3 linked regions of the Callithrix jacchus genome follow. The protein of the gene in region 2 interacts with the protein of the main gene of each other region in a pairwise test. Links are inferred from orthologs where the notes say so. Each region holds a gene or a part of one and is shown on either strand. Other genes may lie near its edges.

Evidence for each region.
Region 1: the proteins of PNMA1 (region 2) and SPATC1L interact in binary tests that used the Homo sapiens proteins (3 or more experiments, as listed by UniProt). The two-hybrid records come from large-scale screens. The link is inferred for Callithrix jacchus from reciprocal best matches to the Homo sapiens genes PNMA1 and SPATC1L.
Region 3: the proteins of PNMA1 (region 2) and FMNL2 interact in a two-hybrid assay, tested with the Homo sapiens proteins (2 studies listed by BioGRID). The two-hybrid records come from large-scale screens. The link is inferred for Callithrix jacchus from reciprocal best matches to the Homo sapiens genes PNMA1 and FMNL2.

The regions. Positions count from the first base shown.
Region 1 is NC_133522.1:51,766,236-51,770,551, forward strand, and holds the start of SPATC1L (speriolin-like protein), read right to left. Parts: upstream 2,826-4,316; 5' UTR 2,736-2,825; coding exon 2,543-2,735; intron 1-2,542.
Region 2 is NC_133509.1:108,629,419-108,633,509, reverse strand, and holds PNMA1 (paraneoplastic antigen Ma1), read left to right. Parts: upstream 1-1,262; 5' UTR 1,263-1,981; coding exon 1,982-3,043; 3' UTR 3,044-3,813; downstream 3,814-4,091.
Region 3 is NC_133507.1:77,748,992-77,753,234, reverse strand, and holds the start of FMNL2 (formin-like protein 2), read left to right. Parts: upstream 1-1,418; 5' UTR 1,419-1,847; coding exon 1,848-1,964; intron 1,965-4,243. UniProt on the Homo sapiens protein: Plays a role in the regulation of cell morphology and cytoskeletal organization. Required in the cortical actin filament dynamics.

The DNA.
Region 1 (4,316 bases), on a different chromosome or scaffold from region 2:
GGGGGGCGGGTGGAGAGCACCAGGCGGGGAGGGGTGTGGAGAGCACCAGGTGGGGGGGGTGTGGAGAGCACCAGGCGGGGGGGGGTGTGTGTGTGCTGGAACAATGCCAGCATGGCGCCCGCCTCCTCCATTAGTGGGGTGTAGGGGCCTTTCAGGAGAGTGTTTGAGTGTCTCTTCCGACATCTCAAATGCACACAGCCTTTGACCCGAGGACCCACGTGTGGGATCCCCTACCCAAGGCGACAGGGTGCCTGTGCAGGCTGCTCCCGGCCACAGCATCCGCGGTCACAGACCGGGAATGGTGCTGCCTGCCAGGGGCCCCAGAGAAGGAACCAGCTTCTCTGTGTGCCGGGATGTCTGCAGCTGAGGACTGACGGGGAATGATAGAGAAATGGACAGTTTCAGGGCGAAAGTCAGGCTGGGGAACAGCGCAGTCCTGTTTGGGTGGACCAAAAAGAGAGAGAGAGACACACGGACCTCCATCAAACTTCCAGAGAAAACCCAAGAAAACGTTGATTGTGCCTGCCTTTAGGGAGTGGGTCCAGAGGCGTGGCCTGAGCCGGAAACATGTCCTCCGCGGTGTTAAACCCCTTTTTGGCAGGAGCTCAGTGGTGGTTTTCCAAACCCCCGTCCTGCTGAGGGCTGGGGCTGAATGCAGCGCCCCGCAGACCCAGGCACATTCCCAAGCACATGCTGAGGCCCAGAGCATCAAGGGTGCACCACGCGCTGCCACTGAGGTGGCACAGTTTAGAAGGCGGCCTTGTCCAGGCCCCTCCCCACTGGCAGCCCGGGCCACACTGAGCCTGCCCCACACCCTGCATGGGGGCTCCAAGGCCCTCTGTGGAAGGCCTGATGGCCTCGGGCTGGGGATCCTCCCAAGACCTGTGTCCAGCCAGACCTGGGCTTGCCAAGGTGACCCAAGGGCAGGTGCACTCACCGTGGCCATGGAGACCCCACCTGACTCAGCCCCTGACAAAGGTCCCTCCAGGGACTGCACAGCCTGAGCAAGGGTGGAGGGTCTGCCGCTCTCCCGCCAAGGGAGGCCCCAGCACTGTGTCCAGCCCAGTGCAATTCCTTCTTGAGGAGGACGATGGCAACAAGGCCGGGCATGCAGCCTGTGGCAGTTCCTCAGGCACCAAGCAGACTAGGGGCTCTTTTGCAGCCACAGTGCCCGGGGCTAACAAGTGCTGTGAACGGGACCATTTGCAGTGCCGCCGTAAGCACAGGTCCACCCAGCAAATGGCCTGTGGTGAGTGTGGGGGAGCTCAGTGGCCACCAACGGGGATGCAGGACCTGGGGCCTCCCACAGCAGGGACCCCCGGCGCTGGATCCTCTGGCCACACTGTCCCCATACCTCCTGGCGAGGTGCTCTCCTTCCAGCTCCCCGTGAGGAGCCCCTGCAGGCACCGAAGCTATGGAGATGCTGCCAAGGATTCCCCTCTTTACTTCCCGACGTGCTCGCTCTCAGGCTTTGTACACAGTAGCTCCAAGCAGCGGAGAGTGCCTCCTGCAGGCTGTGCCCGCTCAGAGGCGCACAGATGAGGGTGGTGGCTGGCGTCTGAGGACTCAGGAAGTGACCACCCCTGCGCAGGTCCCAGAGTGTCCCCTCGGTGGGTGGCAGAACCAGCCTCCCAGGCATGGCTCGTGCTTCCCGACAGCAGCGTTCACAGGCACTGGTGAGGCTGCCTGCTCCATCGTCCAGGACCAGGCAGGCTGACCACATCCTGTCCCCACCCGGCCTGGTGGGAAGCTGAGGTTGGCCGTGGAAGTCCCAGGCAGTGCTGGGTCAGGGACTCTGTCCACTGCCCACCATCCTAACAAAGTCAAGGGCACACCTGTCAGCCATACCCCAAGTCACATGCAGAAACAGGGAATGTTTTTCCCAAAATTTTTAGAATAAAACCTACTACTTTGCAGAAAGTGATCAAACCCCCCCTTTTTTTTTTTTTTTCAGTGAAAAGCCACAGAAGGTTGGAGTCAATACTATGTGGTGGGTGGATCGTGACCCGACACTCCCACCGCCCCAGGGACGACAGGTGCCCATCATCCCCACCCACTCCCCTGACCTCCCCGAGGTAGGCCCTTCCCACCCTGGGGCTGCCCTGACTCTGGCTGAGGACGTGAGTGGATGGGACTCGTGTGGCTGGTGCGTCTGACAGCCCCCTCCGCCCCAGGAGAAGAGACACACACAGCCGAGCGAAGTGCCAGCCGGGCCCAGCCTGGAAGAGCTGCCTGGGTCTCTGGAGGCCCACGAGGCTGCACGCCTCCCGCTCTGCCCCTACGGCGGCACTTCCGTGACTGCAGCTGACCAGTCCACCTGCAAGTGGCTGACCACCCCTACTTCACCGCAGCGGGCCTGTAGGGGAGGGGCCTCGCCCGAGGACAACAGCGGAATGAACCACCTGGTGCTGCTTACTCAGATCCGAGGGTGTGGAAGGTACCCGTGACCTCCTGTACCAGGGGCACCTGAGGAGCAGGCGTCCCCTGACCCGCCATCCACCAGGCCAGACCCTTGGGCCAACTGAGCCGGGTGGCGCCTCACCTCCGCTCCCAGGGGAGCTGGCTTCGGGGTAGGCGGGCGCCCTCTGGGGGAGCAGGTCTCGGCCACCACCGTCCTGGCAGCTCTGGCTAAGCAGCCGCCGCAGCATCTGGTTCTCCTTCAGGAGGCGCACCTGCTTCTTCAGGTCTGCGTTCTCACTCAGGAGCTGGCTCATCAGCTCACCGCCCTCAGCCATGGCCGGCGCACGTCCCTCGTCGTCCCTCACAGCTCCTGCAGCCCCACAGAGGTGGAAGCCCAGAGCCCACAGGCACCACAGAAACAGCCCAAGGCCACAGAGTTCCGTGGTCGCTGCCACCTTCCGAACCTTGTGATGTCGCTGCCCTAGCGACCAGGTGCCAGGCACCCCTGCCCGCCCTGGCGACAGCTCGTGGCCATGTTGAGGCAGTGAAGCTGGAGGCCCGTGGGGTGCACAGGCAGCCACTCCTGCACCACGACAGAGCCCGAGAATGCCAAGGACCTTAGGCAGGTATGGGATGTGGGGACCACACTCCAGGGGGATCTGAGCCACTCCGCAAAGGGAGGCCCAGCCCGGGTCAGGCATTCACCCCATGTGGAGTCCTCAGGCCAGGTGGGGACACTGCCTTTCCTTGAGTGGCACGTGGGGCTGCCCTTCCCACAGGCCCTGCCCACGACACAGGGACCCAGTGTAGCTTTCCGTAGGCCCTGGCACTCAGGGTAGCATGTGGTGTGCGGGTGTTCATCAGGGCCTGACCTTGGGACCCACACTTGAGGATGGAGGGGCTGGTGAGTGTAGGGGGAGGACACCAGCCTGGGGCAGCCCCACGATGGTCCCCACACCCTGAGGAGCACTGGGAGGCCCTGAAGGCTGGGCCGGAGACCACCTGACGTCACTCCCCCATGAGAAGGGTTCAGCAATGTGTGTCCACCCCTCGGACCACGAGCACCCGTGTCTAAGACACCAGTTGTTCCCAACTGCACTGCTCCTGCCTGCACCTCACTGCAGACACCCCTGACCAAGGCGTGGCCCCTCAGGCTGTCACACAGGGCTGTGGCTCATGGGGTCCTACTAGGGCAGGCATCTGTCCTCGGTCCGTGTGATCATCTTGAAACCCACCCTGACTCCCCCCGTCTCCAATTACTTGGGAAAATCAATCACCTCAGTGTTGTTTCTTGGCTCTGAGGGTCTTGTTTTATCAGCAGCCAGAACACAACAGACGGGTCATCTTGTCCTTGTGGGAAGGGACGTAAAACACAAACCAGTGGGCCAACCACACTCCAGCCCTGTGACAGGCGCCCTGTGACCTCCGGCCCTGTGACGGAGAGCCTCCCACCTGGGGCCCCCAAAGTGCTGGGATTATAGGCATGACCTAGAAATTTATTATTTTAATGAAGAATTTTATTATTTTAATCAGCGTTTTCCTGCATGGATCATGCCTTTGGTGTCATATCTAAAGAGTCATTGCCAAATCCAAGGTCACCTGGATTTCGTCCTATGTGATGTTCAAGGGCACTCAGGTGCAGACGCCCCAGGAAAACAGTCTTCATTCAGCCCTCGGCCTGATTAGGGGAATGTTGATTCCAGGAGAGAAGGTCTCAAGTTAGACTTTGTGGAGAAAGGGTTTCTACACCCCAGCATTCCTTACACAACCCAGCCAGCCTGGTGCTGCCGCACAGGGCTCACGCCCCAGATGAAGACAACGGGGGCCTGATACAGCCCACTGAAGAGGGGTGCAGGGCATCCAGGATGCAGAGCAGGGAGAGAAGTGAGGGTTAAGTCACAGGTGCGTCCCAGCTG
Region 2 (4,091 bases):
CTCCATAGGTTTACAGGAAGTAGGCATATTTTTATAAAACAATTGTGTCCTCCCCACATTTTGCTATGTTAATATTTGCCTCTAACAATTTGCAGCTGTTTCACTTTTTCCTCATTTGTCTCTAAGTTGAAGGCCTTGTTGGAAGGGACAGCACAGGAACAGCCTTGACAGTCTGTAATTATTGTACAAATATTTTAATAGCATATAAATAAGTATATTCCTTTTATTTTGAAACAAATGATCAGACACTGCCTTTTTTGTGTTTGCTGCCTGTGGCACCCTTTTTTAAAAAGACTGTTACATATTAAAATAGTGTACATATATATATAAATATTACCTCTTTTGCTGTACAGTTGTGATAGAGACTGAAGATTTTATTTTTTGTGTGCTTTTTATAAGAAAAAAATTAATACACTAAAGAATCTTGCTGATGTGATTGTAATGTACCTATGTAACTTATTTACTTTTGAATGTTCTTCTGTATCTTTAAACCTTTTATTAAATAAGGTTTTAAAAATTCAGAGTTGCATGCTGTGTTCTCTGGGATTTTCACCATCTGGGATTGATGTAAGTGGGTCTTGTCTTGCTTGCACAAAGATTACTCAACATTTTCGAACCATACGGATTCTCTTTTAGCAGCCTATTGTCAATGATGCCAGCCAGGAAAAGGGAAATAACATATTAATGTTTACCTGGCTAAAAGATGACTGAGTAGACATAGACAAACATCTTTTTTACAAAATTTTAGACAAGAAAAAGGCAACTCCGTATCTTACAAAAATATACGTAAATGGCACACGCCGACATTTTGGCTGCGTTGGGATGAAATATGCAGGGTGCAGAGTGTGGTTGGGGGAACAGGGAAGCTACGGTTCTGAGGATATTCTCACGTGCAGGGTGGACTGGCTGAGCAATCTGAGATGAGTCCACCATGAGGGATGCATTTCCAACAATATCATCTTAAGTCCACTCCAGGATTGGGTTATTTTTAAAATACGGTGCTTAGCAGTCTTTGTTCTCTGTTTAAAAAAAAAAAAAGAAGAAGAAAATTACGCCATCAGAGAAACAGGTGCCCGGGGCACCATGGTAACCGCTGGACTCCGCCCCACCCCCACTCCCCCGCCCGCGGTGGGCCGCCAGAGCAGACGAGTCTCGTGCAGGCTGAGAAGCCGTTGCCATGGCGACACCCGAGCGGCTCCGCCGCGGGGGCGTGACGGAGTGGGGCAGACGCCGCTCACGGGCTGGCCCCACCCTTCACTGCTGCAGTAACATCGCCGCAGGTTGCGGGTAGGACACTACGTCTGGGTAGCAGCGCAGTGCAGATCGTTGCGGCCGCCGCTGCTCATCCTCTCTTCTGCTGTCTCCAGCCCAGCTTCGCCAGCTCTCCTGCTCCTCTGTTGCCTTCGTTTCTGGTCCTCGGCGGTCCTCGCCACCCTCCCGGAAGAGTCCCTGCTCCTGCCAAGAAGCCGCTCTCAGCTGGCCCGCAGCCGCCGCGACTTCGGCACAGTCTGCCTGTGCCGGGTCTCCCAAACGACCTCTCCTCGCCCTCGGAAGACCGGGCTGCGACCGCGAACGCCAGATCCTCTCTGGGAGCCGCCGCGAGCGCCCGACGACCACACCTCGGCGGTTCTCGGCCCATCGCGCCTGCCTTCGCCGCCCGCCTTCGCTCCTTGCCCGCTCCACGACGACGCGACGCCTCGGCTGCTGGCAGCGGACCCGGACCCGGACCCGGACCCAGACGCAAGATGGCGACGGCTGCGTGACTGCCTCAGCGTTTCCGAGCTCGTCTCCAAGTGCGTCCACTGACTGACTGTGGGGGCAGGGAAGGGCGAGGTCAGGACTCTGTGTCTTTGTTAATCGTGACTGCGTGAAACTCGCCTCCCTTGGGCCTACTTGGGGGGAGTGTCTGGCGTTGTTCTAAGGCCAGGAGCAAGGTGAGCCACTGTCTGTTGGTAGAATTAGCGTCTTGATAGTTGACAAAATGGCGATGATACTGTTGGAAGACTGGTGCAGGGGAATGGATGTGAACTCCCAGAGAGCTCTGTTGGTCTGGGGCATCCCAGTGAACTGTGATGAGGCTGAAATCGAAGAGACCCTCCAGGCTGCGATGCCCCAGGTGCCCTACCGAGTGCTTGGGAGAATGTTCTGGAGGGAAGAAAATGCGAAAGCAGCCTTATTAGAGCTCACTGGCGCTGTCGATTACGCCACGATCCCCAGGGAGTTGCCGGGCAAAGGAGGAGTCTGGAAAGTGTTCTTTAAGCCCCCGACTTCCGATGCTGAATTTTTAGAAAGATTGCACCTCTTCCTAGCTAGAGAGGGCTGGACCGTGCAGGATGTTGCCCGTGTCCTTGGGTTTCAGAACCCTACTCCGACCCCGGTCCCAGAGATGCCAGCAGAGATGCTAAACTATATTTTGGATAATGTTATTCAACCTCTTGTTGAGTCCATATGGTACAAGAAGCTGACACTTTTCTCGGGGAGGGACATCCCAGGGCCTGGAGAGGAAACCTTTGATCCTTGGCTGGAGCACACTAATGAGGTCCTAGAGGAGTGGCAGGTGCCAGATGCAGAAAAGAGGCGGCGGTTGATGGAGAGTCTTAGAGGCCCCGCCGCTGATGTCATTCGCATCCTCAAGACCAACAACCCCGCGATAACTACTGCCGAATGCCTGCAGGCGCTTGAGCAGGTGTTTGGGAGCGTTGAGAGCTCTAGGGATGCCCAGGTCAAATTTCTGAACACTTACCAGAACCCGGGAGAAAAGTTGTCTGCTTATGTCATTCGTTTGGAGCCTCTGCTACAGAAGGTGGTGGAGAAGGGGGCCATTGATAAAGATAATGTGAACCAGGCTCGTCTAGAGCAGGTCATTGCCGGGGCCAACCAAAGCGGGGCCATCCGAAGGCAGCTGTGGCTTAACGGGGCTGGGGAAGGGCCGGCCCCAAACCTCTTTGAGTTGCTGGTGCAGATCCGTGAGGAGGAAGCCAAGGAAGAGGAGGAGGAGGCTGAGGCCACCCTTCTGCAGTTAGGCCTGGAAGGGCACTTCTGAGTCCCAGGAAAGGCAGCTTTAGTGCAGACCCAGATCACAGCTACTGTCCTTGTCCCTGTGGGGTCTTACAGATGTGTCTGAGTAGTAAAGGCTTAGTCCTGTTACATTTGTTTTTGGAGGGCAGGATTTGTCAGGCCTGAGTATTCATGTAACATTCTAAAATTGTGCACGCAAGCACTGTGAGCTGCTAGCGGATCTTGCTGGCTACAATGCCGTTTACCTGGTTGGACACAGAGCTTAGTGCACGCGGTCATCATGGCCATCATAATCAGTTGTGAAAAACGTGTGAACCTGTGACACTTCTATTCCACGTTGAATGTGAAATTGCATGTTCAGATGTTTACTGCGGGGCCTGGCTCACAGGAAGTGTTCAGTAAAAGTGTGAACTGTTAGATTACTGATATTGTGGATAGTTTTCTGTCTACCATAACTTGTTCCAGATTTTATTAATGGAAGGGAATGTGCATTTATTATGACTCAACCTTACAATGTAAACGTACTATTTCTCATCTTTAAACATGTGGATCAGTTTAATTGAAAAGTATTCTGATACTGCAAAATGGGATGTTAAAAACTGCAGTTACGGAGCTGTGTAACCCATTTTTCACTGCATAAGATACAGATGTAAATTGCATGGAGAGGTTGATGTGCACCTGTTAGAGTAATTCACTTCCCCAATTTCAAATCTTTGTCAGAAAATAGTTCTTGTTCATACTAATTCTGAGTGTTCTAAATTTGAAGTTACATACAGAAATAAAAATGTTTTTCGATTTCTGTTGTCTTCTCCTTTTGCTGGCATGTACAAACATCTTTAGCCTAAGTAAACTCTGTCCATTTTTCTTATGAAGACTGTCATTAACTCAAACCATATGTTTTACTTACCACAGACACTCAGCATGTCTTCACCCACTACCCATCATTCACAGAGCTTTCCCCTCCATTCCCACCAGCATCAGGTGCACACTCACCCACCTCCTACGCTCTACACATTCACTGCCATCTCCCACTCAGTACTCCCACCTTAACATACACCCTCTTCCCACTCCAC
Region 3 (4,243 bases), on a different chromosome or scaffold from region 2:
AGTATCTTGGAGTTAGGCCGGGAGCCGAGGCCGGGCACGGTGGCTCACGCCTGTAATCCTAGCACTTTGGGAGGCCGAGGTGGGTGGATCTCCTGAGGTCAGGAGTTCAAGACAAGCCTGGCCATCATGCTGAAACCTCATCTTTAAAAAAAAAAAAAGTATCTTGGAGTTTATAAAGATGAATGAAATGTTCTTGATGATTGAATCTTGGTTTACTACCTTGTCCAGAAGCACTTGCTATTTACTAAAAGGATGATAACAACCTTACCTGCATATCAAAATCAGCTGGGAGCTTGTTAAAACTACACCTGCCTAGGCTCTGGCTCTCAGCTTAGGGAGATTCCGATAATAGACAGAACCCAAGGTGTGTGTAGTTTTAGCAAAAAGTTTCCCAAGTGAATCTGATACACCTCTAGGATTAAGAAACACTGCTTTAAACTAAGAAAGTACTAACAGCAGAAGTTCAGCCACAAGTCATATGGATGTATACCCTTAATATTCACATAAGCAGTTGGCTAAAGTCTCTTATAAGGCTATTTCTATTTCTGAGGTTTCAGAAATGAGTAGTTATAGTCTGAAACACACCCCAGAGGACAGAGTCAGGTCCAATCTTTTCTGTAAGACACCTTGCTCAAGATTGCTGTGAAGAAATAAGAGCGCTGCAGTCAAAAAATCATCCCAAAGTCTCCCAAAACACTCCATCATTAAATCCATCTCACATGAAATATGGGTGTGTAAATTTTCTCCTTCACTAGATTGGCATGTATTCTAGCACAGGGGCAAGTCTCTTTTTTTCTCCCACCAAGGAACACAATAACCCATACATAATAAGGTGTTTGACAGTTTTTTGGTTTTTTTTTTTTGTAAATTGAATTGAATCCTTATCCAGCTCCTAGGGTCTGGCTGTATATATCCATAAATTATACATTTGTTTATAAAATATTTCAGTCACACCAAATAACATATATATGGAAGAAAGAACGATAAGCAAGCACCCATGGACCCACCCGCCCTCCCCCGTGTATGAAACCACTTTGCCAATGCTTTCGAAGTTCCTTATTGAACTAGATCTTTTAAAAACAGCAATGATTTTCTGGATTTTAATCAGAAGGCATGCATCCATTCATTCATTGATTGGATTCCAAGTGTCAACATGGCATATACGATGTAGGTATTCTGCTGTTGGGGTGAGGGGAGGTCAAAAGTGACATAAGCCATCTCCAGAAACATACGGATCCCCTTGCTGCAAATGGTCCCAATCTGGCCTGGCGCTCCAGAGCGGGCGTGGTTTCTGCGCGCGGACACTTTGGGTAGAAACTACGCGTCCCGGCAGTCCGCGGGGCGAGTGGGCGGAGCCGGGCTGGGGGCGGGGGCCAGGCGAGAGGGGGCATTGTGTAGGGGAGCGCGGAGCTGCATTTGTCTGTTCGAGGTGCTAGCCTAGCAGTCGCAGCCTTTGCCGGCCAGGGCTGGAAGTGTCAGCGGCGCCCGGGGGCCCGGCTGAAGGCCGAGTAGGAGGGACCACGCGCCGGGGGCCGCGATCTCTGGCAGGGGGCGGTGTACCAGCGGAGCACCATGCACATAGGCGCCCAGCGCCCCGACTACCTCTCCGGAGCAAAAGAGGCCGGGGCCGAGCTGGGGCGGCGGGGAGCATGAGGGTGGCCGGGGGACGGCTCGGCTTGGAGCGCTGCTAGGGAGCGGTGCGCACCGCACACCCGCCGGAGCGCGGCGGAGGGCGGGAGCTGGGCAGGTCGCGCCTGCGGACGGGAGGCGATCGCCGGGAGCTGTTCTGATTTCCTACGCGCACGCAAGGGGCCCGGAGCAGCCCCCGGCCCCGGCGCGCCGCCGACATGGGTAACGCCGGGAGCATGGATTCGCAGCAGACCGATTTCAGGGCGCACAACGTGCCTTTGAAGCTGCCGATGCCTGAGCCAGGTGAACTGGAGGAACGATTTGCCATCGTGCTGGTGAGTGCGCCGCGGCGGTCGGGCCCCCGGCCGGGCGGCGCAGCTGACCCCCGCCCCTCCCCTTCGTCCCTCGCGGGGAGCGAGCCTCCTTTCCCGAGGGGGAGGCTCGCACCTTCCCCACTGTGGCGCCCCCACGCCCCCGGCACTTCTCTCCAGCTCCGCGCGCTCTGCCTCTCCGGGTCCTGGGATGGGATGGGAATGAGGGCTGGCGGGCTGCCCCGCCAGCCCCGAACCCATTGTCTGGCTGGAGAGGCACTTCTCGGCGCGTGTGCCCGGGAGGTGCGGCGTAGGCGTGAAGGGAAGGTGGCGAGGGCTGGGGAGGAGGGGGCGGCGAGTCGCTTAGGCTTTTTGTGTTTTTAAAAAACAAAAAACCCCGAGCCCCTGCGGACCATCCCTTGAGCGGCCAGCCGGGGACTTGCTAGGTTCTCGGCAGATGGGGCGCGTGTGGCCGGCCGCGGGCGCCGTGCCGGGTAGTGAGCGGAGGCGAACTTGGAGGGCGGACGTCGCGGCTTGGCAGAGGGGAGCTTCCCCGAAAGGGAAAGGGGAGCTCCGCAGCTGTGCGGCGCCCCGGCCCTCGGCGAGGAGGAGGGGCGTCTGAAACCCAGCCCGGGGAGAACCTCAGCGTGTTCCCTCTAGACTTAAATCTTAAACCACAAAAATGTGCAGTTTTGCGGGAACGTGTTGCGAGCTGTCCTGACTGCACGGGCGACCCTTCCCCTCCCCTTGCACACTCAGCCAGGTCCCCCGCTCCCTCCTGCATTCCGCTTCTCCCAGCCTTCCACCTCCTCTAATCCAGAACTCTGAAAACTCCCCTTTCTCCTTTTCCTGCTGGGACTGTCTGGGCCCCTCCCAGCCGGGGCTTATGCTGAGCTGCAGAGGGTGTGGCGGCTTGCCCCGGCCGGGATCTGGACTGCAGTTGGTCCCCAGACTTCCAGTTTTAGTGTCCCAGCCTCTTCTAAGGGATGTTGGGAGGGACACGGGCGAGATTGGACGCATTCCTGCTCCTTACACTTGGACACTTCTCTTTTCCTAGTTGGTTGCCTCTAAACTCCACAAGACTAGGCAGCAAGGGAAACTCGAGATTCACGCAGCCAACGATTGTGCCTGCCTGCGGGTTTTTTTGTTTTTGGCATGAAAACTACAACTTTGGCAAAGGACTCGAGTTCTAGATCAAAAATCGGTTTTCTGAGGTTTGATCACCGACAGGAGTTTAAATTGCCTGCCTTCAGGCCTTGAAAATGGATGGTTTGGTATGGGAAATGATGTTCTGGATGGCAGGTGAGCTGTGTGCTCTTCCGGAGACCTGAACACTCTCTCCCACCACCTGGAAACTCTGGTGTGGGCGTCGGGGAGATAGATGAGGTTGCTTGTGTTGCTTTGCATTTCCTGTGATCTCCCGCAGCTGCTCCCACCGTTGTGCAAGATGGGACACTCAGATGAAACGGCCTAGGCATAATTCTCAAGGCAGCCTGCGTGCATACTTGACCTGTTTTTCCAGAGACAAACGTTTTTCTTCAAAACCCTCTTCCTACTATACATGTGGTTCTTACCTCCTGGCTCTGGCTTTTTTGTTTTTCCATCCATGCTATGGTGCTGTGTGTGTGTGTGTGTGTGTGTCTGAATACTTGTGGTGGAGGAGCCGGGGACACAGGGAAACCAGCGCAGCAGCCATAATAATAACAATAATGCAATTAAGTTCTGCTTGACTAGGACAGCATTTTTTTTTTGCTTGAGCTTTCAGTTACCCTGCTGATTAATAACACATGGTGTGAATTAATCTTTAGAAAAATAATGTCCCATCATTAGCGCGGTGGATTTGTGTTCCTGTTAAGGCTAGCAGTTGCAAATATAGTATGTAGACATTTATGATTTTACATCCCAAGCTTCTTGGGGCAGTTGTTGTGGCTACCTCTGCTCTACTGTGTGTCACAGAGTTACTGGGTGCAACTCCTTTTAAAATTGTTTACGATATTCCAAGCCTCCCAAACAAGAAACAAAATGCCAGGCTGACCTTTTTTTTTTTGGGTAGAGACAAAGCTTTTGGGACCACGTCAGCTTAAGAACCCTCTTCCTAGGGATGCACTTGGACCATTGATGTGTTCCTTCTCCCAAGTCAGCTCCACTTGCTCTTTGACAAACTGAGAGGAGTTGAAAGGAAGCCTTCCAGATCATCTCCATAGGCTGATGGAAATACACAGTGTTAGTGATTTCTCTTACCGTTTTTTTCTGGAGTTGTACGTGCAGCACTCTCAACTTTGCTTTTCTTCATGAGTTGCTTA